7 linked regions of the Oryctolagus cuniculus genome follow. The protein of the gene in region 5 interacts with the protein of the main gene of each other region in a pairwise test. Links are inferred from orthologs where the notes say so. Each region holds a gene or a part of one and is shown on either strand. Other genes may lie near its edges.

Evidence for each region.
Region 1: the proteins of KIFC3 (region 5) and KANSL1 interact in binary tests that used the Homo sapiens proteins (3 or more experiments, as listed by UniProt). The two-hybrid records come from large-scale screens. The link is inferred for Oryctolagus cuniculus from reciprocal best matches to the Homo sapiens genes KIFC3 and KANSL1.
Region 2: the proteins of KIFC3 (region 5) and ATF2 interact in binary tests that used the Homo sapiens proteins (3 or more experiments, as listed by UniProt). The two-hybrid records come from large-scale screens. The link is inferred for Oryctolagus cuniculus from reciprocal best matches to the Homo sapiens genes KIFC3 and ATF2.
Region 3: the proteins of KIFC3 (region 5) and ZGPAT interact in binary tests that used the Homo sapiens proteins (3 or more experiments, as listed by UniProt). The two-hybrid records come from large-scale screens. The link is inferred for Oryctolagus cuniculus from reciprocal best matches to the Homo sapiens genes KIFC3 and ZGPAT.
Region 4: the proteins of KIFC3 (region 5) and USP2 interact in binary tests that used the Homo sapiens proteins (3 or more experiments, as listed by UniProt). The two-hybrid records come from large-scale screens. The link is inferred for Oryctolagus cuniculus from reciprocal best matches to the Homo sapiens genes KIFC3 and USP2.
Region 6: the proteins of KIFC3 (region 5) and CLIP4 interact in binary tests that used the Homo sapiens proteins (3 or more experiments, as listed by UniProt). The two-hybrid records come from large-scale screens. The link is inferred for Oryctolagus cuniculus from reciprocal best matches to the Homo sapiens genes KIFC3 and CLIP4.
Region 7: the proteins of KIFC3 (region 5) and FAM161A interact in binary tests that used the Homo sapiens proteins (3 or more experiments, as listed by UniProt). The link is inferred for Oryctolagus cuniculus from reciprocal best matches to the Homo sapiens genes KIFC3 and FAM161A.

The regions. Positions count from the first base shown.
Region 1 is NC_091448.1:17,223,636-17,225,957, reverse strand, and holds the end of KANSL1 (KAT8 regulatory NSL complex subunit 1), read right to left. Parts: intron 2,169-2,322; coding exon 1,941-2,168; 3' UTR 501-1,940; downstream 1-500. UniProt on the Homo sapiens protein: Non-catalytic component of the NSL histone acetyltransferase complex, a multiprotein complex that mediates histone H4 acetylation at 'Lys-5'- and 'Lys-8' (H4K5ac and H4K8ac) at transcription start sites and promotes transcription initiation.
Region 2 is NC_091434.1:66,026,607-66,030,106, reverse strand, and holds part of ATF2 (cyclic AMP-dependent transcription factor ATF-2), read right to left. Parts: intron 1,033-3,500; coding exon 914-1,032; intron 782-913; coding exon 653-781; intron 1-652. UniProt on the Homo sapiens protein: Transcriptional activator which regulates the transcription of various genes, including those involved in anti-apoptosis, cell growth, and DNA damage response.
Region 3 is NC_091442.1:348,523-352,799, forward strand, and holds the start of ZGPAT (zinc finger CCCH-type with G patch domain-containing protein), read right to left. Parts: upstream 2,801-4,277; 5' UTR 2,396-2,800; coding exon 1,959-2,395; intron 1-1,958. Other genes in the region: ARFRP1 (ADP-ribosylation factor-related protein 1), read left to right, coding at 2,804-2,896, 3,015-3,102, 3,470-3,552, 3,923-3,989. UniProt on the Homo sapiens protein: Transcription repressor that specifically binds the 5'-GGAG[GA]A[GA]A-3' consensus sequence. Represses transcription by recruiting the chromatin multiprotein complex NuRD to target promoters.
Region 4 is NC_091432.1:110,941,470-110,945,760, reverse strand, and holds the start of USP2 (ubiquitin carboxyl-terminal hydrolase 2), read right to left. Parts: upstream 2,801-4,291; 5' UTR 2,661-2,800; intron 2,197-2,660; exon of another isoform or gene 1,697-2,196; intron 871-1,696; exon of another isoform or gene 711-870; intron 1-710. UniProt on the Homo sapiens protein: Hydrolase that deubiquitinates polyubiquitinated target proteins such as MDM2, MDM4 and CCND1. Isoform 1 and isoform 4 possess both ubiquitin-specific peptidase and isopeptidase activities.
Region 5 is NC_091449.1:41,231,008-41,234,507, forward strand, and holds part of KIFC3 (kinesin-like protein KIFC3), read right to left. Parts: intron 3,467-3,500; coding exon 3,355-3,466; intron 1,372-3,354; coding exon 1,190-1,371; intron 266-1,189; coding exon 161-265; intron 1-160. UniProt on the Homo sapiens protein: Minus-end microtubule-dependent motor protein. Involved in apically targeted transport. Required for zonula adherens maintenance.
Region 6 is NC_091433.1:173,864,631-173,868,130, forward strand, and holds part of CLIP4 (CAP-Gly domain-containing linker protein 4), read right to left. Parts: intron 951-3,500; coding exon 811-950; intron 1-810.
Region 7 is NC_091433.1:140,941,708-140,945,942, reverse strand, and holds the start of FAM161A (protein FAM161A), read right to left. Parts: upstream 2,801-4,235; 5' UTR 2,328-2,800; coding exon 2,145-2,327; intron 1-2,144. UniProt on the Homo sapiens protein: Involved in ciliogenesis.

The sequences.
Region 1 (2,322 bases), on a different chromosome or scaffold from region 5:
CCGCGGCACCTCACCGGGCAGCCTCTGCTCTCTCTGGCTAGACTGCCATAAACAGAACAGAGAAGGGGGTAGAATGAGGCCTGCTCATTCCTACCAAGAAAATCAAGCACTGTGCCTCCTTCGAAGAAAGATGCTGTAAGCTCAGGTAGCACGGTGGGCGCCAGCCCAGGCTCTGTGCAGACCAGCCACTGACTGATGTGAGAAGTAAAGCTCCAAGAGCAAGCAACTTAAGCCTAGGGACACAGCATCACAGCACTGGCCTCACTGGAGAACAAGGACCACCGAGGGGCTATGGCCACTTCAGCCCAGTAAAAAGAAAAGGCAGAGGCTCTACAGGATGCCCGGTCCGCCCTGTCCGCCCTGCCCCACCCCGCAGCGGGAACTAGCACAGTGCATTCACTGGCGATTGCCAGGTGACGGCGGAACAGAGACCTCCCGACTCAGAGCCAGTTATCACACACAGCCCGACACGCCAAGAAACACCCGGCACATACATAACATTCTGTAACTCTTTTTTTTATTATTTTTTTCAATTTTTCCTTCCTTTTTTTTAAGCACGAGTCTGTGCTTTGCGAACAGAATCAAGACATTAACAAAGATCAGCTTCTCTGAAGAAAAGCATTTCTATAGAACAAAGACAGCTACATGTTTCGCTGCCATTACACAGCTCAAAGCAGGAAAAGAAAATATTTACAAAATACAGTTTTTTCAATTTTTTTACAATGCTAAAAGGGTTATTCAGAATTTTCAACCTTATAAATAGAAGAAGCACTTTATGCATAGGGATATGGTGCATTATTGTTTTTGAAAGAAACAATGACAAACCCTTTAACTTGCAAACAGAACCAAAAAAAAAAAAATCACTAATGTTGAAAATTGTGAAAAAACCCCAACCATTAAGCAGTTTGTCTACTATTTTTATACGATTACAAAATGGCAGGAAAAAAAAAAGTCCTTCCCCCCTCCCCCTTTGGTGATGTGATTATACATGAGACAGGCACAAGGTTAACAAAGGAGGGAACGGGGGAGGGATGGAAACCACAGCCAGGACTAGACGATGTTCCACAGGCAAGGGGTGTGTGAAAGAGGAAAGTCCAATTGACACAGGAGTGGATCAGCTGGTGAAAGCAACAGCACACAGGAGAGATGGCTGCCCCTGCAGGGGAGTGGGAACAGAGGTGCAGCTGTCCTAACTGCACCTTCACAGAGCAGCACAGGAGGCAAGTGCGTTCCGAGTGGAAGGACCGGGTGTGCATGGCGTTTGGGGGAGCCACGAAGGAAGGGTACAGAGGGACGGGCTGGGGCAACCTGAGCAGCTGCAGCCAGGTTACAGTGAAGGAGTCATGGCACATGGCCAAATGCAGTGAAACTGAAAACGGGTGACAGGGAGCAGCTTTCTGCCAGCTGAGGGCTCAGGGAGTACAGCGGGCAGGTGGGGGGAGACCGTGGTGTGGGAGATGGGGACCTGGCCAGAGCTGAACCAAGTCACTGATGAGAGGGGAAGGCGTAAGAGCCCAGGGTGCCGAGCTCTGTCCCACCCTAACCTAAGAAGGCAAAGCTGAACTGGAGCTTTCCATTCCCTCTGCGCTTTTGGCATTCCACCCTGCCCACAGGGGTGAGGGAGAAGGGTGATCATCTAACTTCGTAGGTCCAGTGATTCAACAGTGCAGAGGCTACGCCAGGACCAGGCCAGCAGGGTCTTATCCTGAACTTCTGTTTGCCAACTGGAGGAAGTGCTCAGGTGTGTGACAAGAAAACATGGAAACAAAAACAAAACAAAAATCAAAACAAGAAAAAAATACCAAAGTAGGATCTAAATTCCTTAAATTCACTAAAAACTGTGAAAATTTCCGGCATATGATGTTTGAATATCAAACGCAGAGATTTCTGAAGCTTTAATGCCAATAGTTAGTGAGTCTGTTTAGATTCCCATTTCCCACTCATCTGTGAGTCGGGCGCTGAGCTGTGACTGTTGCCGCCAGATGCCGACTCTTGAGGGGAACAACGGGAGGCGAGGTGGGCGCCACCTCTGCCTCCCTGCCAGTCTTGCTGCCTGAGGTGCGCCGAGTGCAGCGGGCTGCCCGTTCCTGCGCATCCAGCTGGTCCTCACACTCGGCCTGGGGACTGTAGGCCAGGGGGAAGGTGCGCCGCTCCCATGGCTGCACGGACTGTGGGCAGACAAATCGCCTTGGTGAGCACCCAGTCCCATCTAGCTGCTTTAGTAATCCAGGAAGACCCCTCACACAGTGAGCAGCACCCTTTTAATAATACAGCCCCACCCTCTCTTCAGACGGTCAATTTCAAGTGTAATCCCTTGTCCCC
Region 2 (3,500 bases), on a different chromosome or scaffold from region 5:
AAGTTACTAGTTGTACAGATTTCTTAATTAAGCTGCTGATCTGAAATTCTTGGGATACCATGGATACCAGAAAAAAATTCATGAAAATGTATGCTATGAAAAAACTATGCATGGATTTGAAAGTTCTTTTTCACCAAAATAAACTTTTTTCCATAAACTTACTGAAGTGCCCTCATCTAAAGGTAACTAACCAACAAAATACAGAAAAACCACATTAAATGGTAAATTTACATTTCCCTCTTAAAGTAAGTTTTATCTAAAATGACTCTTATTCTCCCCTATAATTTCTCTGTGTTTAAGTTGATTATGTATTAATGGGGTGGGAAACATACAGTCTGTGGGCCATACAAGACCTGTGAAATCATTTGGTCTGGCCCTGCCAAGGCAACCACAGGTGGTACTCAAAATTCAATAAATCTACAGCAGGCTGATTTTTAAGTTGATAATTTTATATGGCCCACAAATGATGTTATAATAGCCAAATGGACCTTGGCAGAAAAAAATGCTCCCCAGCCCTGAATAAAGAAGGAATCTTCTTTCCCTGAAATATTTGGCTAGTCAGAGGCTTTTACACATTAAAAATTAAACTTTACTTGGGGTACCAACTTTTTCCTCCTTAGCTTATATGCTATCACAAATATAACATTCTAACCTTTTCATCACTGGTAGTAGACTCTGGGTGAGGTAAAGGACTATCCTGGTGAGTTGTTTCTACAACAGAAGGCTCCTCAATTTTACTTCTTATGATGGGTGTTGCAAGAGGGGATAAATCTAGAGGCATCTAAAATGTAAACAATAAATAAAGAAAATGTCACAAGTTCAAATGTAGGCCATTAGAAAGTATGAAGTATAAGCTAGCAATATTTTTTCTATCAAAAGTACTCTTCTCTTAATTTTACGATTAACAACGTACTTTTTTAATGTCGTCTTCTGAAGCTTTCTTGAATTCATTCTCAAATGGACTTGCCAACTCATTAAACAAACCCACTTCTTCACAGTTTTTCAAGAATCTTGTTGGAGTTGGGGTCTGATCTGAAATAAAGTCAAGAAGTAATCACACAGACTTAAATATTGTATACCATATTAAGATTCTAAAATATAGCAATAAGTTAACAAATTAGAAGGACTGGTTCAGTCACAGTTGTTAATTCTCTCTTTGGAAAGACCTCTTCCTTTAAAGCAAACAAAATCTGGTTAAGTTTCTGTTGCACTTCCAGGTATTTCCTCCAACTTTGGGAACCATAAAGGATGAAAGAAGTCTTTTGCTCCTTTGTCCACCCCTTCACTCTCCCTTGAGTGGCATGAACATCTTCTACGCAAGAGATAAACTATTATCATTATCTAACACAGTGATAAGAACTTTTAAAAAAAACTTACATTACTAAAAATTATTATAATCTCAATACATGCATTTTGGGTAAAACTAGGATAAGAGCATGTATATTTATTTTAACTTGGCACTTCCACTAGCTGTTCATAATGTATTTTGAAAGCAAGCTTAAATTAAAACAGTATCTTTAGTAGGTAGATTAAAATACCACAAAGAAGAAAAAGAAAGTGAAAAGTCCTGAAAACAAAACAAACTCCTTATTACTATCTACTAAAGCTGATTGTTCAACTTTAGCATATTTTATAAGCTTGGTCTTAACGTTCTAGCTTAATTTCTAGGCAAATAAAATAACTACTTTTTTTACAACTTCAAATATTTTAGCTATACTTAAATTTGCAGCTTATGTTGTTTACATATATATATATATATATATCTACAGAACAAATGTCAGTTAAAGTCTAGGTTGAATGAAAGATAGTAAATTTTGCTCATTTAGTTGTATTGTCCCCAATGCTGTTTATTTATGTTGATTATAATTGGTAGCATATTCAAACTTTGTTAGTATTTTATCTACTTTAGGGCATGAATTTTATAAGTTATTTTAAGGATTTCACCTAAGCTAAATAAAAGTAATCTATTAAGAGCTCTTTTATGAAATTAAATTCAAATATTTATTAACTATTGTGTTTCACAATGGTAATTACTATTTTACCTTTCCCCCTAACATACACAAAGTGTATTAATATTTTTTCTACACATAAATATATTCAACATCAAAATAACCCATTTGTCATACACATTAGACATACTGCAGGCCTATCTTGGTCACTATTAATCATATCAAATTACTGCCTATCAGTATAATCTTTAACCTATACCCTACTCTTATCTCCAAAATCATGCTACATTGAAGGCTTCATGTACATGTATCAGCTTAAGTCCCTCATGACTGAATTAATAAGTCAAACATAAATTTAACTCTTCTCATACCCAAAAGGTTTGCCTATCTAAGCTCTTTAGAAAGCTCACAACTCAGGGAGAGAAAAGTCTTGAAATGCATAAGCATAGATCACTTTCATTAATGACTACTGGGACTGTTAGACTTAAGTAAAGCCAACATAGACACAACTGTGTAACATGCAGATTGCATATGGCTACTGATCATCAGATATATACCACACACATCATGTGTTACAAAGCAATATAAACTGTTCAACATGTCAGTAAAAAAATGGTCAAATGCTGTGTTTGAACGTGTTGTATTTTTCTATTCCATTAAATACAAACAGGAAAATAATTTCTAGAAACCAACTTCAAAACACTTTTTGAGTTAAAATATTAGAGAGATTGCTTTAAGACATTAAGTTTCACAGAAACAAAGATCTTCATGCCTAGGAAAGTGAACTTTTCAGCTTGTTTTTATTTTTTTTTTTTGTTGTTCTAGGTCTTATTATCTGATGCACAGAAGACTAAAGAAATGCATTATTCATTCTTCTACACTTCCTTTCATTTATGGAACTGAAGACCTACTGAAATTCCCTATATCTTTCCTACATAAATTATCTCTGATAGATTGACTACTTTTTGTTATTCCCCATTTCATTACAACCTTTTGATACTGAAAGTACAGGAAAATCAACCAATATTTGCTGTGTTACCTATGCAAAACATTGCATATGATAATTTGATGTATATACTAGTTGTTTAAAAGTACTAATATTACTAAGTTTTCGGACATAATTCCAGACTTACAAATAGTATAACCTAAGGTGTGCAAGAAAGAAGAATCTAGAGTTAATTTGAGTATCTGAAATGCAAATTTATGTGACTGTGATAGAAAAGTGTCTAAAATTTATATTAAATGTTTTATATCATAATCCTTATAAAATACATATAGTAAAATTATTCATATTTTGTATATACACAGATGTGTGTGTGTATATATACTGAAATAACTAGCTAATATAGCATGAAATGAATAAATCAATGCATGAATTGGGTTTCTCTTTTCACATAATATGAAAAATAATTGCTTACATAATACTGTATGTATGTAGGGTCAACACACACGAAAAAAAGCACCTAATGAATTCAGGACCCCTTACGAGTATTTTACTAAGACAAATGTTTTGTTTGGAAAAAAAAAAAATTCTAATCCGGAAATTTGCTA
Region 3 (4,277 bases), on a different chromosome or scaffold from region 5:
ACTCTGAGAAGACAGAGCCATCAAAACCGTCAGAACCAGGGCCGGCGCCGTGGCGCAGCGGGTAAAGCCACCGCCTGCAGGGCCAGCGTCCCACGGGGGCGCCAGTCCGAGTCCCGGCTGCTCCACTTCCCATCCAGCTCCCCCGTGAACGATTCTTTCTAAAAATGTATTTATTCGAGAGGACAGACTTTACTGGTTCATCTCCCAGATGCCCACGACGGCCAGGACGAGGCCAGGCCAGGGCCAGGAACTCCATCTGGGGACCCAACGGCCGGAGCCCTCCCTGCTGCCTCCCAAGGCCCACAGTAGCAGGAGCTGCAGGCGGCACTGCAGGGGGACGTGGGGTCCCAACAGCCCCCCACTCCAGTCGAACGCCCGTGCGTGGGCTGGAATGGAGCTCTGATGCACGCCACACGGTAATGGGCCCTGAAACCAGGGCTAAGTGAAGTAAGCCACAGAAAAAGGCGGGGTGACAGGCAGATCCCACTGTGACGTGTGGAGACACGGCCGATCAGAGACAGCAGGGGCTGGCCGGGCCGGGAGCTACGGCAACACCAAGCGGGGGCTGGTGCTGTGGCCGAGGGTGAAGCTGCCGCCTGTGGCGCTGGCGCCCTACTGCAGTGTGGCTTCCACTCCAGCTCCCTGGTCACGCGCCTCGGAAGGAAGCAGACGATGGTCAAGTGCTGGGGCACCCCGGCTCCAGTCCTGGCTCCAGCCTGGTCCAGCACAGCCCAGTCCTGGCTCTGGCTTGGTCCAGCCTGCCTGTGGAGGCCCCCTGAGGAGTGAACCAGTGGGTGGGAGATCTCTGTCTCTCCCTCTGTCACTCTGCCTTTCAAATAAATAAATAAATTTTTTGAATTTGGTGTGGCCTTGTGGGGAGTGAGTCAGCGGATGGAAGATCTTCGTCACTTTGTCTTTCAAATAAATCGATCTAAAAAAGACAAGGAGTGCTGAGCCAGGGCGCGGGCGAGCCTGGGGAGCCCGGCCAGCGGCCACTGCTGGAGGGGCGGCTATTTCCCGGCCAGCTGGTCAGGGAGTCCATCTGGTCACACAGCGTCTGACCTCACAGCCCGGCACAGCGCCCAGTTCCGTCGAGGGAGGGGGTCTGAGACAGTTTTTTGGCCGTCCTCGCCAGACACAGGGGAAACAGAGTCCAACCCGGGCCCCCGCAGCTCCCGGTCAGGCAAGGTCACTGCCGCCAGGGCTCGGCCGGGCAAAGCTCTCCCTGGAGGCGGGGACAGAACAGAGAGGCAGCATCCACAGGGCTGAACACACCGCCCACGCGACACACGCGGGGACGCCTCCAGCAAGAGCAGGCGCACCAACGGCAGAGGGGGCAGACTGCAGGGGACCCACGCAGCGGGAGCCCAGCCCGTTTTGTTTCTGTTGTCTTAAAAGTCCAGGAAAACAACTTTGCAACCCTAGCCGTGCTGGGGCAGGTGTATGTAACCCGCTCTGCAAGTCTTCAGAACGGCCGGGCCGCCTCGGCCAGCAGCGCCCGGCGCCTGCTGCCCCCTCCAGCGGAGCGGCGGGGACGGAGCCCCGAGACCCCGGGCAGGAGAGCCCAGCCGCCCCGCCTGCACGCTACAGCAAGACTCCAGGGAGGAAGCAAGGAGGGGAGACGCGGGAGACGTGCCGGCAAGGCTGGGCCCCGCGTCGTGGCCGCCCCGCCCCCTTCTCCAGCCCTGGCCGCTGCGGCCATCTGGGGAGTGACCAGCGGATGGATGACCTCCAAGTCGTTCAAGTGAACGAATACTTTTACAAAGTCGGGAAGGGAACGCAGGGGCGCGAGACTGGCAGAGCCAGGGCAGCGGGGGAGGTCACGGCGCCGCCCCTGCTCTGCGCACGCGGGGGGACCCCCGCAGGAAGGTACGCTCCACGTCTTCCCGCGGAGCCGGCGGCTGGGCCGCACCGGCTCCGGCCTCCCGCAGACGCGCCCGGGGGTTCCCGCGCCTCACCTGCAGCGCTCCGTGAAGCGGCACCTGCCCTCCAGGAAGAACGGGCAGGGCTTGAGCGCCGCGCGCGTGGGGCACAGGCAGAGCACGCGCACGCGCGCCGCGCCGCCGCGCGCCTCCTCCGTGCCCACCACCATGGCGTTGTGGTACTCGGCCGAGCCCCAGGCGCTGTAGAAGGGGGCGTTCACCTTGGTCCCGCTCAGCTCCTCGGCGGGCGCGGGCGCGGGCGCGGGGCCCGCAGCGGCGGCCGGGGCCGGGGGCTCAGGCGGGGCGCCGGGCCCGTCGGACGCCAGGCCGGCCTCGGTGAGCTCGATGAGCTCCCGCAGGTCCCGCTGCAGCTGGCGCAGGTCGGCCTCCTCGGGCGAGTCCCGGCCGGCGCCCAGGGCGCGCTCCACCTGCTGCAGCTGCGCGCGGTACGTCTGCAGGGCCGCCTCGTCCATGCCGCGGGCCGCGCGGCGCCGGGGGCGCCCTCCGCCGCGTCCGCCCGGGCCGGCCTCCTCCGCGCGGCCCCCGGGCCCCCACCACAGCCGCCCGGCGCCCCTTCCGCCCTCGCCGCCGCTGCCGCCGGCACTTCCGCTCCGCGCCGGAAGTGCCGGGCGCGCGGGGGCCGCCGGGACGCGTCCCGTCAGGCGCCGCGCGGGGTCGGCGCGGGGTCGGCGGGGCCCGGCGCTCGGCTGCTCCGCGCGTCTGGCGGGCGCAGGTAGGCTGCGGGCCCGGGGGCCGTGCGGCCGGGACGCGGGGCGGCGGGAGCCGAGGCCCGTGCGGGAGCCGCCCCCGGGCCCGCCTCGAGCCTGGCGGGGCGGGGCGCGGGCCCGACGGCCGTGACGTGTCTCGGTGTCCAGGGCAGGATGTACACGCTGCTGTCCGGCCTGTACAAGTACATGTTCCAGAAAGACGAGTACTGCATCCTGATCCTGGGGCTGGACAATGCCGGCAAGACGGTAGGTGCCCGGCCGCGGCCCGGAGCGCTGGGCTGGGGCCAGGCCCCGCCCCCTGAGCGGCAGCGGCTCGCGGCCCTGCCTGCACTGGCCCCCGACGCCGCCTGCCCTGTCTCCCCAGACCTTCCTGGAGCAGTCGAAGACCCGGTTTAGCAAGAACTACAAGGGGATGAGCCTGAGCAAGATCACCACCACCGTGGGCCTCAACAGTAAGGCGGGGCCTCTGGCGCGGGTGGAGCCCTGAGCCTGCTGTGACGGCCACGGCCCAGCAGCTGGCCACCGCAGCCCGGCCTGACTGCTGCTGACCCCGGGGCCGCCCTGACCGATGGTGACCCCAGACCCTGCCCTGCCCTCCTCTGCTGACCCCCAGGGCCTGCCCCGACTGATGGTGACCCCCAGACCCCGCCCTGACCGATGGTGACCCCAGACCCCGCCCTGACCGATGGTGACCCCAGGGCCTGCCCTGCCCTCAGCCGCTGACTTCCCAGCAGCGCCAGTGGGTTGTTGGTCCCCCAGGAGCTCTGGCACGTGTGTGTCCAGGGGCAAGGTCACGAGCCTTTCCTGTTCTCTGTCCAGTCGGCACCGTGGACGTGGGGAAAGCTCGCCTCATGTTCTGGGACCTGGGCGGCCAGGAGGAGCTGCAGTCCTTATGGGACAAGGTAAGACGGCCCTGCGCTGCCCCGCCCATGCCATGCTGCCCCGCCCACACCGCGCTGCCCCGCCCATGCCATGCTGCCCCGCCCACACCCACACCGCGCTGCCCCGCCCATGCTGCGCTGCTCCACCCACAAGGCACTGCCCCGCCCATGCCATGCTGCCCCGCCCACACCCATGCTGCGCTGCTCCACCCACAAGGCACTGCCCCGCCCATGCTGCGCTGCTCCACCCACAAGGCACTGCCCCGCCCATGCCATGCTGCCCCGCCCACACCGCGCTGCCCGCCCACACCGCGCTGCCCGCCCTGCCCGTGGTCCCTGCTGTCCCTGCTCCTGTCGGTTCCCGAGTTGCGCCACCTCTTGTCTCACTCAGCCCCTTCCCGGAGTGGCCCCAGAAGTGGTGGTGGAGCGTTCCCCCGGGGCAGCGGGCAGGCGTCCAGGTGCGCAGTGAGGAGAGGGTGCGGCTCATCTGAGGGTTTAAGGAGTTCGGTCCAGGGCCAGCACTCTAGGGTCAGACACAGCCGCTGAGTGTGGGACTCGCAGGCCCGGCTCAGGCTCACGTGTGCAGGGGACGCCCGCGCTGCCGGGTCAGTGTTCCCGGTGAGGAGACAAAGTGGGGGCCCCGGGGACCCTGCCTCCCCCAGAGTGAGTGCACACCTGCTCCCCCCCCAGTGCACACCTGCTCCCCCCAGTGCACACCTCCCCCCCAGTGTACACCTGCTCCCCCC
Region 4 (4,291 bases), on a different chromosome or scaffold from region 5:
AGGTGAGAGGGGGCCCCTAGCTGACACTCTCTGACCCGTACCCCTCGCTGCGCTGGCCGCCTGCTAAAGTCAGGGCACAAGTGTCAACCCTGGCAGGAGTGGAGGATGCGGGTAGAGGGTGGGGGCGGGGCCCACAGTCCGGGAACTCTGCCTGCTCCACTCCTGCCCTGGGGTGGCCACCTGCCCCCTCCCCGCCTGCCTGTTCGTGGCAGCTCTGTCTGTCTTGTGCTAGCACCGCCGGGCCCCTGCCTCAGCAAGGGACCATCCAGGGGAATCTGGGTCCCTCTGGTCTCTAGGGGGCTGTGCAGGGGCTCAGGGATGGGGGAGGGGTGATAGAGATTGGAGATTAGGGGGAGACTCCTGACTGGTGGAGAAGAAGTGGGAGGGCTCAGAGCACTGCCTTCTAGGGTGCGTCTTGATTTGGGGTTGGGAGGGGGTGGGCATCCCTCTACTTCCAAGAGGTGGCAAAGAACGGGACCTGCAGGCAGCGCTGGTGCCCATATATTCCCTCTTCAGGCGTGATCTGCCCAGACCCTCCCCAGGGAGCGTCTCCATCTCCCACTCTGTCCTCCAGGGATCGCTCTTTCCTCAGTCCTCAGCTCCCACCCATGGCTCCCACAGGCCGGGTGGGCAGCCTCGAACCACAGGCTACCCCAGACCCCTGGACGTCTGGAGGACAGAAACGCAGACACCAGAGGCACACGACTGACCTGTGCTGGGGGAGCTGGCGGAGCCTGGGGGCTTCTCCTTCCCGGGCAGGGCAGGGAACCCAGTGGAGGCGGAGAGCCCGAGCCAGGAGGCTGGGTAATCCGGGGCTCGGGTTCCGGCTGATATATATAGTATCTTATCTGACCTCCCTGAGACGGCAGCAACTCACTTGGATTCCAAGCCCCGAGAGAATTAAAGGGACAGTAGCAGGCCCACCCTCCGCCACTGCCCCACCTGGCCAGTGCCAGCCTAAGAGAGCCGCTGGGCCTCTGGGGAGGGGCGCGTGTGGAAGGGGGGACGGAGGGGTGGGGTAGGGGAGTGGGTGTCAGGAGGAAACAGGACAGGAAAGAGGGCAGAGGGGTGGGGGCAAAGGCAGAGGCTCTGGATCTGTCCACCACAGGGGCAAAGAGGGGAGAGGCCTCGGGGCCAGCCCAGCTCCTTTAACTGGGAGAAGGAGTGGGTCTCGGGGCACAGCGGCCAGCACCCAGGCTTCAGCTCCATACGCTTTCAGCATGGACGCCTCGGCCTGGGCTTGCATTCTAGCTCCTTCCCACTGGATCTGAGACAGTGAGCAATCACTGTGCTCGCTGGGCCTGGGCTCCTTGTTAGCTTATACAGGAGGAATAATAATAAAAGAAAATAATAATAATAGGGGTACATCTCACAGTTGTGAGCATGGATTAATCTTTGTGACATTTCCTGGCCTATAGAAGACTCCAACCCATGACGGTTAAACCGAACACTTGCCTTGGTTCCTGTAGCTTAGCGGCTGTACTAGAGCAGCACCTCACCCCGCGAATCTTCCTGGGAAGGGGACGTGGGCACCCTCTCCAACACCAGAGTGCCACAGGGCTCTGAACAGGTGCCTGGCCCATCAGTGGGAAGAGCATCTTTCTAAATGTCCTCTCCAACACGGGGAGGGGGGGGGAGTCAGCCCATCTGGGACCCTTCCCCCCCTGCCTGACCCTGCTGGGGGCTCCCACTCTACCTGTTCCAGAGCTCAGGATTCCAGGGCCTCGGGGCCGGGCCGCACAGGGTCGCAGGAAGGAGGAGGAGAGTTCTTGGTGCACCTGTCTGCTCCCGGGTAGTTTCTCGCTGGCTGTCCCAGAGCGCGGCGAGTTCCCCAGGCTGTGCCTCCGCCCCGTCTCAGCACGGGCTACTGACTCAGCCCTCGACCTGCTGATGCACTTCCCAGGCCGCCCGCGCCCGGGCTGTCATTCCGGTCCTCATTCCAACTGCAGCCTGGCACGTGTGTGCGGCATCAAAGGGGAGGGGGCAGCCGCGCTTCCCCGGGGCTGTTCTCGCGCCCCTGACGCGCGAGGCGAGGGCAGCAGCCCTTGCCTCCAGCTCCATCTTGGTCCCGCTCCGAAAGCAGCGGGCCTGGGAGGTGGAGCGCCCACTCCTCCGCGGGGAGCTAGAATGGGTCGTCCTGGGCTGGCTTCCCTGGGCTCCAGACTAGAAGTTGCGTGCCCCGGAGCACCGCGTGCCGGCGTCTGGGTTGGGATTGGTGAGGATTTCAAAGATGCCTCTTTCTGATTTGGGATTGGTGGAAATTCTCCCATTCCGCGTAACTGCTACCCTCCCCCAACACCCCCCTCCCCCGCTTCTGGCAAACTGACCACAGACAGCCGTCGCGAGCTTGGCGAGCTGCGCGCACGCGTGGGGAGGGGGCCGTCGGCGTCCAGGCGGTGAGGCTCAGGCCCCCGGCCCGCGGGAGCTGCGCTTCTCGGAACACACCGATCCGTACACAGATGGCTCTTCCTGGCACCACGGGCTGCCAGCTGGCAGCCCCCCTCGCACGCGGGCGCCCGCCGCTGGAGCTCCCCCGCTCAGCTGGCCCTCGCCCTACATTTCTGGTGCCCAGGCTGACGCTGACCTCTCACCTTCGGAACCTGAAACCGGCAACTGACCTCCGCACCCCCTGTTCCCGATCTCCGACAGGTGGCACGTACCTGCCTCTTCTCGGAGGATGGACGAGTCGAACCCGGCACAAGCATGGAGCTGCGGGTGAGTCCCGGCTGGTACAGGCGCGGTGCAGTGAGCAGCAGCTGACGCAGAGGGCTCCCTGGCCTCGGCTCCTGCCCGCCTCTCCCCCACCTCCGCCGGGGGCCCTGGAAGGACCTCCCCGGGAAATCGGCGCCACCCAGCGGGCAGCCACCTCATTGCACCCAGGCTGGCAGAGCCACGCCCCGCGTCTCACGGCGATTGGCTCGTCTCTATTGTGACGTCATCCCCTCCCCGCCCGGCCAGGGTCTCCCGGGCAACCGACGTACACAGAGTACCACGTGGAAGGAAAGCACGCCAGTTTGCAGTGGGTGGAGCAAGGACAGAAGTGGGGTGGATGCGACGCGGCGGGGCAGCTGGAAGGTACTGGGAAAGCGGAGGGGCCGGGGGCGGAGGGAGCCTGGGAACTTGAGCCCCGGGCGGATCCACTTTCAGTTTTTAGGAACCGCTGAATGTCACTGCCCCTTTCCACCGGGCTGGGGGAAGTCCTCAGCCTAGGCCTCCACTCCTTTGGCCTGCTCCTATAGGAGCTCCCTGCTCCGTTTACTTCCATGGATTGGTGAGTATTGATGACTACCCGATTGCATAAACAGAGACTATGGAAGGAATTCTCCTTCGTCATCGAAGAACTTGAATTTTTTTAAAAATTGTTTTATTTTTAAGTCAGAGTTACGGAGAGAGGCAAGAGAAATCTTCCATCTGCTGGCTCACTCCCCAAATGGTCACAGCGGCTGTGGCTGGGCCAGGCTGAGGCCAGGAGCTTCTTCTGGGTCCCCCACCTGGGTGCAGGGGCCCAAGCAGTTGGGCCCTCTAATGCTGTTTTTCCCAGGCCACTAGCAGGGAGCTGGATTGGAAGTGGAGCAGCTGGGACATGAACCTGTGTCTGTACAGGATGCCAGCTTTGCAGGCTGTGGCCTAACCTGCTGCACCACAACTCCGGCCCAAGCACTTGCACTTTTGACCTGCCTCCCCTCTCCACGTGCTTGTGAGGACCAAGTGGACTGGTGCCAGGGCAAGATCAGATTTTCAACCTCACTGGGACCAACAATGAGTACCTTCTCCATAGCAGGTGACTTCACCCATCTGCACACCCCTCAAACCCTCCTCCTCCTCTGTTTCCTGGAGAAACTAGGTGCAAACAGGATGTGGAGACCTAAGTTTCTACCTGCAAACATACCTGAATTCATTCTTCCCTCTGCGCCAGGAGCTGTGAAGAAGATGCCCCCCCCCATTTTTTAAAAACACAAGTATCCATGTGCACCTATGCTTTTTTATGTATGTATGTATGTATTTGAAAGGCAGAGCTACAGAGAGGCAGAGGCAGAGAGAGAGAGAGAGAGAGGTCTTCTGTCTGCTAGTTCATTCCCCATATGGCCACAATGGCCGGAGCTGGGCCAATCCAAAGCTAGGAGCCAGGAGCTGGGTCTCCCACACAGGTGCACTTGGACCATCCTCTGCTGCTTTCCCAGACCATTAGCAGAGAGCTGGATCGGAAGTGGAACAGCTAGGACTGGCACCCACATGGGATGCCGGCACTGCAGGCGGCAGCTTTACCTGCTACGCCACAGCGCCGGCCCTG
Region 5 (3,500 bases):
TGGTCATGTCCCCCAAACGCCCCCTCCACTGGCGGCAGCAACTGCTGCCTAGGCCCCAGTTTAAAGTGGCCTGGGGTCTCGGGGCCTCTGCTCCCGAGGCAAAACACACGCTGTGCAGAACCCCGGTGTCCGTGAGGGGTGCCCCGCGGGCAGCACCTACCTCCATGGTGTACGTCTTGCCAGCGCCCGTCTGGCCATAGGCGAAGATGCAGACGTTGAAGCCGTCGATGCAGGAGGTGACCAGGGCCTGCACCTCCTGGAACACCTGGAAGAGGAGTGTGACGGACTGTGGGGCCCCGCCAGCTCCAAGCCCGCTCGCCCCCAGCAACACCATGGCCTGTGGCCCTGCTGATGCTCCCTGCTCTCCAGCCCCCCGTGCTGGACACTGGTGGGCAGCTGGGGTGCTTCCACCAACGCCGGTGCGTGGTCCCCCGTGCAGCTCAGTGAATGAAGGCAGAGGTAGGCACCTGCCTGCACCTGTACCTCCAGGGCCTGCCGCCAGCAGACCATGCAGGAACAAAGGGGTGGACGTGGGAACAGGAGGGCACAGGCAGGACAGGCCCGGGGGACTGGGTGTGGCAGAGAAAGGGGGATGCAGAGACCACACAGCACCCATGTACCTGAGGGGACAGAAGCCCTAGCAAGATCCAGGGGACTGATACAAGAGGGTATCCTTGGGACCAGTGCTGTAGCACAGTGGGTTAAGCCACAGCCTGCAGCACAGGCATCCCATATGGGTGCCAGTTCATGTCCCAGCTACTCCACTTCCCACCCAGTTCCCTAATGGCCTGGGAAAGCAGTGGAAGATGGCCCAAGTGCTTGGGCTCCTACACCCGCATGGGAGACCCGTAAAAAGCTCCTGGTTCTTGGCTTCAGCCTGGCCCAGCCCTGGCTTTACTGCAGCCATTTGGGGGGTGAACCAGCAGCTGGAAGCAAATAAATAAATCTTTAACCACAAAAGAGGGTATTCTTGGCAGGAGAGGGCGCTTAGGGGCCCTGGATCACATAAATGGGAGGAGCCACATGGTGGGCAGGGCCTGACACATGGGTGGGGTGGGGTGGTCTGCAGGCAACCCGGCCCTTCCCACGGGAGGCTTCTGAGGCCCTCAGTCTTTGCTTCTCACTCGTCCCCACCACCTTCCGTCTGGCTCTCCCCACGAGTCTGTCTGTCCCTCTGGGCTGCACTCACGTCCTGCTGCGAGGCCCACGGCGAGAAGACCTTGTCCAGCTCAAAGGACACGGGCTTGCCCTTGTGCAGCAGGTGGATGATGGAGTCGTCATCAGGGTCGAAGGTCACTGCGTTGGTCGCCTCCGGGCCTTCCCCATCCTCTTTGGTGACTGGCCGGACACGAGCAATCACCCGGATGTTCCCTGAGTTGGTTGGGGGTGGAGAGAAGGGCCCAGGCCGGGTCTAGAGCAGACTGCCAAGGCTGGCATCTTGGCGCAGTGGGCTAAGCCTCTGCGTGCAATGAGGCTCCCATGTGGGCACTGGTTTGAGTGCCAGCTGCTCCACTTCTGACCCAGCTCCCTGCTAAAGCACCTGGGAAAGCAGCAGAGGATGGCCCAAGTGCTTGGGCCCCTGCACCTGGTGGGAGACCTGGATGGAGCTGCAGGCTCCTGGCTTCTGCCTGGCCCAGCACTGGCTGTTGCAGCCACCTGGAGAGTGAACCAGTGGAGGGAAGGTCTTTTTGTCTCTTTTCTCTCTGCATCTCCGACAAATATTTAAAAAGTACAAAGCCGGGGGTGGTGCTGGGGTGTAGTGGATAAAACCATAAGGGGGCCGGCGCCGCGGCTCACTAGGCTAATCCTCCGCCTAGTGGCGCCGGCACACCGGGTTCTAGTCCCGGTCGGGGCGCCGGATTCTGTCCCGGTTGCCCCTCTTCCAGGCCAGCCCTCTGCTGTGGCCAGGGAGTGCAGTGGAGGATGGCCCAGGTGCTTGGGCCCTGCACCCCATGGGAGACCAGGAAAAGCACCTGGCTCCTGGCTCCTGCCATCGGATCAGCGCGGTGCGCCGGCCGCAGCGCGCCGGCCACGGCGGCCATTGGAGGGTGAACCAACGGCAAAGGAAGACCTTTCTCTCTGTCTCTCTCTCACTGTCCACTCTGCCTGTCAAAAAAAAAAAAAAAAAGAAAGAAAGAAAAAGAAAAAAAGAAAAATAAAAAAAAACCATATGGGTACAAGTTCGAGTTACGGCTGCTCCACTTCCAATCCAGCTCCCTAATAGTCTGGGAAAGCAGAAGATGGTCCAAGTCCTTGGGCTCCTGCACCCCCATGGGAGACCCAGAAGCAGCTCCAGGCTCCTGGCTTCAGATCGGCGCAGCTGCAGCTATTGCAGCCATTTGGAGAATGAACCAGTAGATGGAAGACCTCTCTCTCTGCCTCTAACTCTGCCTTTCAAATAAATCAATCTTCGAAAAATAAAATAAACCACATGGCCTTCACACTGGTACCCTCTGGTGTTCCAGGAAGGCGAGAGGTCCAGGAGCCCCCCTCCCAGGGCTGTCATCCATCCCCTGCACTGTGGTATGCCTTTGAGCAATGCAGCCCTGGGGGCTCTGCCTTGGGGCTGGGAGGAAAGGCGGGTGGCACTGGTGGGGCTCCGGCACTGCCCCAGCCTGAGAAGAGACCTTGCCCTCTGGACCTTGGCTTCCTCACCCCTCAACGAGCAGCTGGAGCCTTGATGAGCCAAGGACGTTTTCTGGTCATTCTAGAAGGGCTCGGCCATCAGGCCAGGAGGCAGGCAGACAGCTGGGCAGAGACACTGGGGCACCCAAGGGTGTCTGGCAGCATGAGCTGGTCATGCACCCCTTGCTTCCAACCCACTCGTGGAATCCCAGCACCCCCCCCAACATGGCCCCCCCTTCCTTCCCCTCCTAGTCCCCGTCCAGCTCACAGGCCAGGTGTCAGTTACAGCTCTGCCTCCTCCAGGAGCCCCCTACACACCGACATCTGTCCCATACCAGGGGCTGTCAGAGCGCCTCCCGGCTCTTTCGTAAGGGAACACAGTTAGGGTCCCCTGGGTGACAGTCACTGTCCATTCTCCCAGCCAAGGCGAGTACCATGAGGGCAGGGACGGCACCTCTGGGGCGGCAGCACCTGGCACAGAGCACCCAGGCTTCCGTGCAGGCCCCAGGTGAGAACAAGTGGCAACCCAGCCGCCACTACCCAGGGCCCCGGGGAGTGAACTGCTGCGGGCGCTGGGCGGGGGCTTCAGCGCTGCACACGCCCGAGGCAGACCGTTCTCCGCCACACAGCCTGGAGCATGTTCCCTGACCGCTCTGCGGCTCCGTGTCCTGGTCTAGCTCCTCCATGGGGCAGCACCCCCGGCCCGGCCCGCCTGGCGGTCACGGTCACCTTTCAGCCGCACGAGCTCGTTGTGGCACTTCTTGCGCAGCTGCAGCTCCCGGCGGTACTTGCGCAGCAGCTCCTGGTTGTTGCTGTTGACCTCCTCGATGGCCTGGCCAATCTGGGGGCGGCGGCACAGGCACGGCTGTGGGGGG
Region 6 (3,500 bases), on a different chromosome or scaffold from region 5:
GAGGGAAAACAGAATCACAATGTGGACCACCTAAGCACCAATTACCTTCAATGCAGCGCTGAGAATCAAGCCAGTCTACTTATCTGAATTGTTTTACTCTCAGCAGTCGCCACAGACAGGACTGACTTCCCTTTAGGGTGAATTTTAAATCTGCACTCAGCAACGGTAATGAAAATTGTACTTGTCACCGCACTGGAGGAAACTCTTAAAGATTACTCCAAGGTAATCTGGCAATCCAAATTGTACGCTTGTCCCAAACGCAAGCCCGGTATTCTTTCTCCTGAGTACCATGCTATTAGGGAGAAGGGCTTAGTGCTCTCTTTACACAGTTTGATAGCACCCTCGTCAGGGAAGCTTCCCTCTCAAAAACCAAATATTGTTTTAAAATTATACTGATGCCTCGATCTTTATGAAGCCACCCCGAAGTGTGGATATAATGTGATGGCAATCAAATCCCTTCACCAAGTGCACAGATGTTTAGCAAATGAATTGCCACAGAGCAGGAAGCAGGGCAGGTGTCGCTGCCTCAGATTTGAGAACGCTGAGGGCTCTCTGCTCTGAGGCACACGACCCAAGGGGAGTGTTCTCTCTCCCCATTTCACAGGGACAAACAGCTCGCCCTGAACCTAGCAAGCCTGCAAGGTCAGAACTCCAGGTGCAAGAACGCGCGGAGCAAGAGGAAACAGCAAGCAGAACGCACAGCCTGGACTCCCAGCCCCACGAAAAGCCGGGACGCACAGATGCCAACAGCAGACGCTCTGCTCCACCGCGCTCTGACAGCGCAGAACCCAAGCTGCCGTGACTCCTCACCTCATTTCCGATAACGTCAATGTTTTGCTGGACTTGAGGGACCCACTGTCTTAAAATGGCAAACAATTCTGAGACCGACGTCTTGGGATCGAAGAGGATCTCCTGGCACGAGGCATCGTTAGGATCAAAGAAAGAAAACTCTGTTGGAGATTTAAAAAAAAAATGTGAATTAAAGCTTTGGGTTTTTTTAAGATTTATTTATTTGAAAGAGCTACACAGAGCGAGGAGAGGCAGAGAGAAAGAGAGAGAGAGAGAGAGAGAGAGAGAGAGAGGTCTTCCATCCGCTAGTTCACTCCCAAATTGACCACAACAGCTGGAGCTGCGCTGATCTGAAGCCAGGAGCCAGGAACTTCCTCCAGGTCTCTCCCGCGGGTGCAGGGGCCCAAGGACTTGGGTCATCAACCGCAGCTTTCCCAGGCCACAGCAGAGAGCTGGATTGGAAGTGGAGCAGCCGGGACTCAAACCGGCACCCATATGGGATGCCGGTGCTTCAGGCCAGGGTATTAATCCGCTGCGCCACAGCACCAGCCCCGTGAATTAAAGCTTTAAAAATATATATGCTGAAAATAATCAGCACTAAGATCAAGGCTCAAAGGCTGGTGCTGCGGCTCACTAGGCTAATCCTCCACCTGCAGCACTGGCACACCAGGTTCTAGTCCCGGTTGGGGCGCCGGATTCTGTCCCGGTTGCCCCTCTTCCAGTCCAGCTCTCTGCTGTGGCCAGGGAGTGCAGTGGAGGATGGCCCAAGTGCTTGGGCCCTGCACCCCATGGGAGACCAGGAGAAGCACCTGGCTCCTGCCTTTGGATAAGCGTGGTGCGCTGGCTGCAGCACACCGGCCACGGTGGCCATTGGAGGGTGAACCAACAGCAAAGGAAGACCTTTCTCTCTGTCTCTCTCTCACTGCCCACTCTGCCTGTAAAAAAAAAAAAAATCAAGGCTCAAGGGGTGCAAATACTTTTAGGTGCTGGAAAAAGTAGGTTCACCTTAAGCAATTCTCAAACCAAAGCCAGGACCCTCAGAAATGAGGTGTGTCTCAATGACTGTGACCATGAGATTTCCACGCATTGGATTACATTTCATTTTAGAGGAAAACAAATGCAAGTACACAGATCTCAGATCCTAAATCTTTCCAGCATTACTTCTAAGGCACAGAAAGCTGTTGTCAAGTTTTACTGACATTCCTGCCTCTCAAAACACACATCTTCAATAGCAGATTCACACATATGAGTAACAGAACATTAAAACAGAAATATGCCCAAGTAGCAAGAGTACCAGAGAAAGAGAGAAACAGATGAACAGAGAGCGTTCCCAATCACTGGTTCTCTCCCCGAGAGGGGCTGGGCTGGGCTGAAGCCAGGAGCCAGGACCTCACTCCAGGTCTCCCATGTGGGTGGCACCGACCCAGTCCTCGGCAGCCAGCACCACCACCTCCCAGAGTCTTGATTATCGAGAAGCAAGACGGAGGCGGTGCGGCCAGTTACGGAACCCAGGCACTCCGGTGTGGGATGTGGGCAGCTGCACCAGCATCTGAGCCACCAGGCAAGCGTCCACCCCACACTGTGGACATTAAATGTCCTTGCTACTGCTGTGCAGTTTCCCAAAGTTCCACGAGAAACGAGCGAGGAACCTGAGGGGAAATGCTACTCCAACAATAAACACCTAAATAAAAGAAGTAACATCTCACAACATGCAAGTCAAAGAAGCCCACGGAGAACACGTCTGGGTTACTGTGGAAGCTGTATTAGTAAGGACACTGAACATGTGAGCTAAATAGTTCTTAAAACGTCTTCCTTGCGATTTAAAGAAAAAATAGATATTGTTCTATGATTAGAGGGAAAAAAAGAGAATGACTTGTGAAGGAAATAAAACAAAGAAAAGAAAACAAGATTCTGTTGTCTTGAACAATCAAAACAGGCAGGGAATAGAGACAAGAAGGACCTAAAAATAGAAACACTAGGGAGCTAACATTTGCTGAGCACTCCCAATGCAGCAAACACTCTGAGAGCCCTCACCCACACCTTAGATGGCAGGGGTTCGTCTCCCTTTGCCTAAGAGGAAATCAAAGCTCAGACAAAATGATACAAAGTCACATAACTAGGTGCCAAAAGTGGGGCAGACGCCCAGTTGGTCTCTAAAGTGTCTCTGTTAGACCACTTCACTAAGATAACTCACTACTGAGCTCAGATTGGAATGACATACTTATGCAGTAAGATGCATGGGGCCGGCGCTATGGCATAGGTTAATCTCTGCCTGCAGGGCTGGCCTCTCATATGGGCTCCTGTTCGAGTCCTGGCTGTTCCACTTCCAATCCAGCTCCCTGCTAATGTGCCTGGGAAAGCAGCAGAAGATGGCCCAAGTGCTTGGGCCCCTGCACCCAGGTTCCTGGCTTTGGCTTGGCCCAGCCCTGGCTGTTGCAGCCATTTGGGGAGTGAATCAGTGGATGGAAGCTCTATTTATCTCTCTCCATCTATCTCCTCCCTCCCTCCATCCCTCTCTCTCTCTCTCCCCTTCTTGCTAATAAATACATTATTTATTATATCTCTCAAATCTTTTTTTAAAAAAAGTAGTAAGATTCATGTGGTTTTTTGTAATTTTTTATTTGAGAGACAGGCATCTGCTGGATCACTCCTAAAATGCTCACAAAGGCCAGGACGGGGTCAGGCTACCACCCAGAACAGGAAACTCAACC
Region 7 (4,235 bases), on a different chromosome or scaffold from region 5:
ACCCACATAGCAGGACCTATAAACTGATATCTCCAAACTAGATTCAAGCACCATACCTAAGTGCCCAAACAAGGTCAAAGAATCACGTAAGGGTATATGTATACAGGAGGGGGTTATGGTGCATGGAAGTGATGGGGTAGACTGGCTTTGGCAAAACAAAAGGACTAACAGAAGCTTATTGTGATAGTTCTGGTGGGTATGGTATCTGCATTTACATGTTATATTTGACAAAACTGAAACAAATTAACCCTGAAAATTTGAGATAGAGACTCTAACCAATCTGAAGGCAAATATCTGACTCCTACACTCTCTTCCCTGTCTTTTCAGCACTTTTTCCTCCAGCCCCAGAACTTTCTGCCCTGTGGGACTTTCTGTGGTAGCTTATCAAGGTTTACTTCTGGGATCTGTCAGGTACGATGGCCTCAGAACAGTGTCAAACTCATAAGACTTAGTTTTCTTTTTTGGGTAGGTCCCCATCCTTTTGAAACTAGCTCATTGTACAAACTAATCTCTCCTAAGGTAATATTAGTTTGTAGTATACATTTTAGCTTAACAGGCCCTCTGGAAGTGTAATTACCACTACAGATAAATGACTGACTCCCCTACCACAGCAGCCAAATCACACTGTCATCTTAGGGCAAGTTGTTCAAATGGCAGTCCCATGGGCAGTTGTTTTAATTTGGGGTGGGTGCTTGGCACAGTGGTTAAGATACTGCTTGCATCCTGTATCAGAGTGCCTAGGTTCAAGTCCTGACTCCGCTTCCAATTCTAGCTCCCTGCTAATACATGACCTGAGAGGCAGCAGGTGATGGTTCTGATAGTACTTATGTACCTGCTATCCACGTGAGAGATCCAAATGGAGTTCCCAATTACCAGTATCAACCTGGCCCAGCCATATCTACTGCAGGCTTTTGGGGGACCAACATACGAAGGATCCCTCTTTGTCTCTGTCTCTAGCTCTCTGCCTTTTAAATAAATAAATTGAAAAAATTAAATAACTATTATTTATATAAATTGTGCTTTCAATAAAACATACATTATCTTATTTGGATCTTATATTAGCTAGGTCAGCTGGGAAAGAGAGACAATTATTCTTTTTGTTCAGAGAAAGAAACTGAGATTTTAAGGAAGTTATGTGCTAACATCACCCAGCACATGGCAGAGAATGGATTCGACTTCAGGATTCCAAATTCTTTTCCTCCATTCAAAGATTTTTTTCCTCCATCACTGTGCCTCCTTTGTTGCCCACTGAAAATTGTGTGAGGGGTGGGGGTGGGGGGAGCTTTATTACAGCAAAGCTGGTCCTCGGATGCTTCCCCTGGTTCATGTTCAGGGTCTCCAGCTGCCTTACTTAGGGATAACCATGAGTTGTTACCCTGTTGGAGAGATATTGGCCATACAAAATGCTGCTACAAAATTTTTCATTAATAGCTTTAGAGTACAGATAACAATTCCAAAACATGCAGTTATTTATTTCTACTAGACCCAGGCCATGACAGTTAGCTTATGAGACGCTTTGGACAAATTAAAGAACGCTGAACCTGGTGGACTTGCGAGCAGGACACATGTGGCTCTGAAAACTGATCAACGAATAGGCTGTTTCCTCCCACCCTGAGGAGTCATTTGGGAAGCACTGGAATCTCAGTAATTTGCTTCTCTGGCTATTTATCTGTACGTGTGTCGATTTACCCACCATCTTGATGTTTTAAACACCCGTCAGGTAACACTAAAGTACAATTGATAGCACAGCTGATGCACCTGTTTCTTCAGGGATTATCCACCAAGGGATAGATTAATTTTCCTCGTTAAGTAAACAAAAAAACGCGAATACTGGCTGTTCATTCCCAACAGATACTTAAAGAGTAGGGAATAAAATTCTGTACTTTGAACTGTCTAGAAAATGGAGTGACATGAATGCCCTCCAAGAAATTTTTATAGTAATCTCTTCGGTGAAAATTAAAAGGCCTTCCCACGCCTCCGTGTCGAGTATTTTCTGTGGGGGCAGAGAAAGAGGTGGGCCGGGGACCGGGTCGGGAGGATCTGCACGCGGCACCGCGTCTCCCAGCCGGAAATCAGCCTGGCGGGGACCGGGACCAGCCCTTAGCCCGCGCCCAGTCCCATCCCCGGTCGTGCCCCCGCTGTACCGCCACTCGCTCAGGCCGCACAACTTTGTAGTCGTCTTCATCCTCCGAGGCCGCCGCCGCTGCCGTCAGGGAAGTGAAGGGGTCTTCGCGTTCGTACTGGGCGACCCGCGCTCCGGTGTTGGGATTTACCGGGAGTTGGAGACTGGCGGCCGCCAGCCTGGCCTCTCGGTGTGAGGCGGCCATCACCCGCCTCCGAGGCCGGAGCGCCAGCGCTGGCCCGGGGCGGGTAAGCTGGCGCGGCCCGGGAGACCCGGCGGCTCCTCGCTTACAGCCGGCGGTTACTAGGGGCGCGGTAACTAGGGACGCTACAGGGGCTGCGAGGGATCAAAAGACTAAAAAGCTTCTCGGGCTGCCTGGGACCCGAGTCCGTCACTCAACTGGAGAATGGGAGTCAGAACTAAATCTGTTTGCTGGATTAGAAGATTGCGGACGGAAAAGGGCACCTCTTCCCCTCCGGTCACCTAAACGCAGACTTCTGACACTATCATAACACACCCGTTTTGTGAAGACAAGAGCGCATTTTTATTAACTGGAATACCAGGTTGGGAGGGGATGATGGCGGAGGAGAGTAGCATCTTATTGTGAAGTGACCTCAGAAGAATGTCAAGATTTGTATCCCAATACCAAACATGGCTGCCTCAGAGCAAGAGAAGGGGAAGGATTGACCTGAGCAGGAATCAGCCAATCAGAAGGAGGCTGCTAGGTGACTCTCGCGCGATTTTTTTGACCTGACCAATAAAAAGCCCAGGGTAGGGTGGCGCCTGGCCCGCCCACCAATGACGATACCCGTACAGAACGCGATGCTCGCTTTGGAGTCGCAGGCCTATGAGTGGCGGGGACTGAGGGCGCCAGTGTCCGACGCGCCATAGACACACCTTCATTCCACCTCACCCCCGCCACCTTCCCACTGGGCACTGGGGCGCCTCCACTGGCTCCTTCCCTTCACCACGTGGCTGCAAGAGGCCAAGCCAGAGTGTCACATGCTGCCTCAGCCCCTCCTTGGTGAGACCAAGGCCGCCGCCCCTTTCCTCGCCCTATCATTTGGATTCCTTCGCCCCTGGCCAAGTCTGCACTATTTCCCGTTCTGTTAAGGGCCTTTGTCACTCCAAAGTGTGGTCCCGCTTTCTGGCGAGTTCTAAGAAACACCGGGAGGAGCTGTCACACAAAGCAACTTATCTGGGGGCCTTCTCCGAGGCTCAATATGTTAATCCTCCGCCTGCGGCCAGGGGCGCCGGTTCTAGTTCCAGCTGCTGCTCTTCCAGTCCAGCTCTCTGCTGTGGCCTGGGAAGGCAGTGGAGGATGGCCCAGGTGCGTGCGTCCCTGCAGCCGCAAGAGAGACCCGGAAGAGGCTCCTGGCTTCGGATGGGCGCGGCTCCGGCCACTGCGGCCATTTGGGGGGTGAACCAACAGATGGAAGACCTTTCTGTCTCTACTCTAACTCTACCTCTCAAATAAATGAATAAAATCTTAAACAAAACAAAGTAACTTACCTGCAGCAAATGAGGAAACCACGAAGAATCATTTCCAAAGTCTAACTCCACAAGCAGGTAACTTTTATTTAGGGGGAAATGATTATTTAAGAGGGGAAGTTTTTATTTACTTTTTAAAAGTTTTTTAAAAATTTATTTGAAAGCCAAAGTTAGAGAGAGGAAGACAAAGACAGATCTTCGTCCGCAGGTTCAATGGCCCAAATGGCCACATTGGCTAGGGCTGCACCACGCCTAAACCAGCAATCTGGAATGCCATCTCCGTCTCCCCTGTTGTTTTTTAGGATTCATGTATTTATTTGAAAGGCAGTTAGAGAAGGAGAGATTGATCTTCCATCTGCTAGTTTACACCCCAAATGGCCATAACCGCCAAGGTAAGACCAAAGCCAGGAGCCTCTTCTGGGTCTCCCACGTAGGCCAGCTGCTTTCCCAGGTGGAGTGGAAGTGGAGCAGCTGGGACACTAATCGGCACCCATATGGGGTGCTAGTGCCACAGGCAGAGACTTAACCTATGTCACAGTGCCGGCCCGTTCATTGTCTTGATACAGGATATGCAGACAGCTAGAGCTGGCTAAGCTGGCAATCAAGTTCCCGTATAATTCTT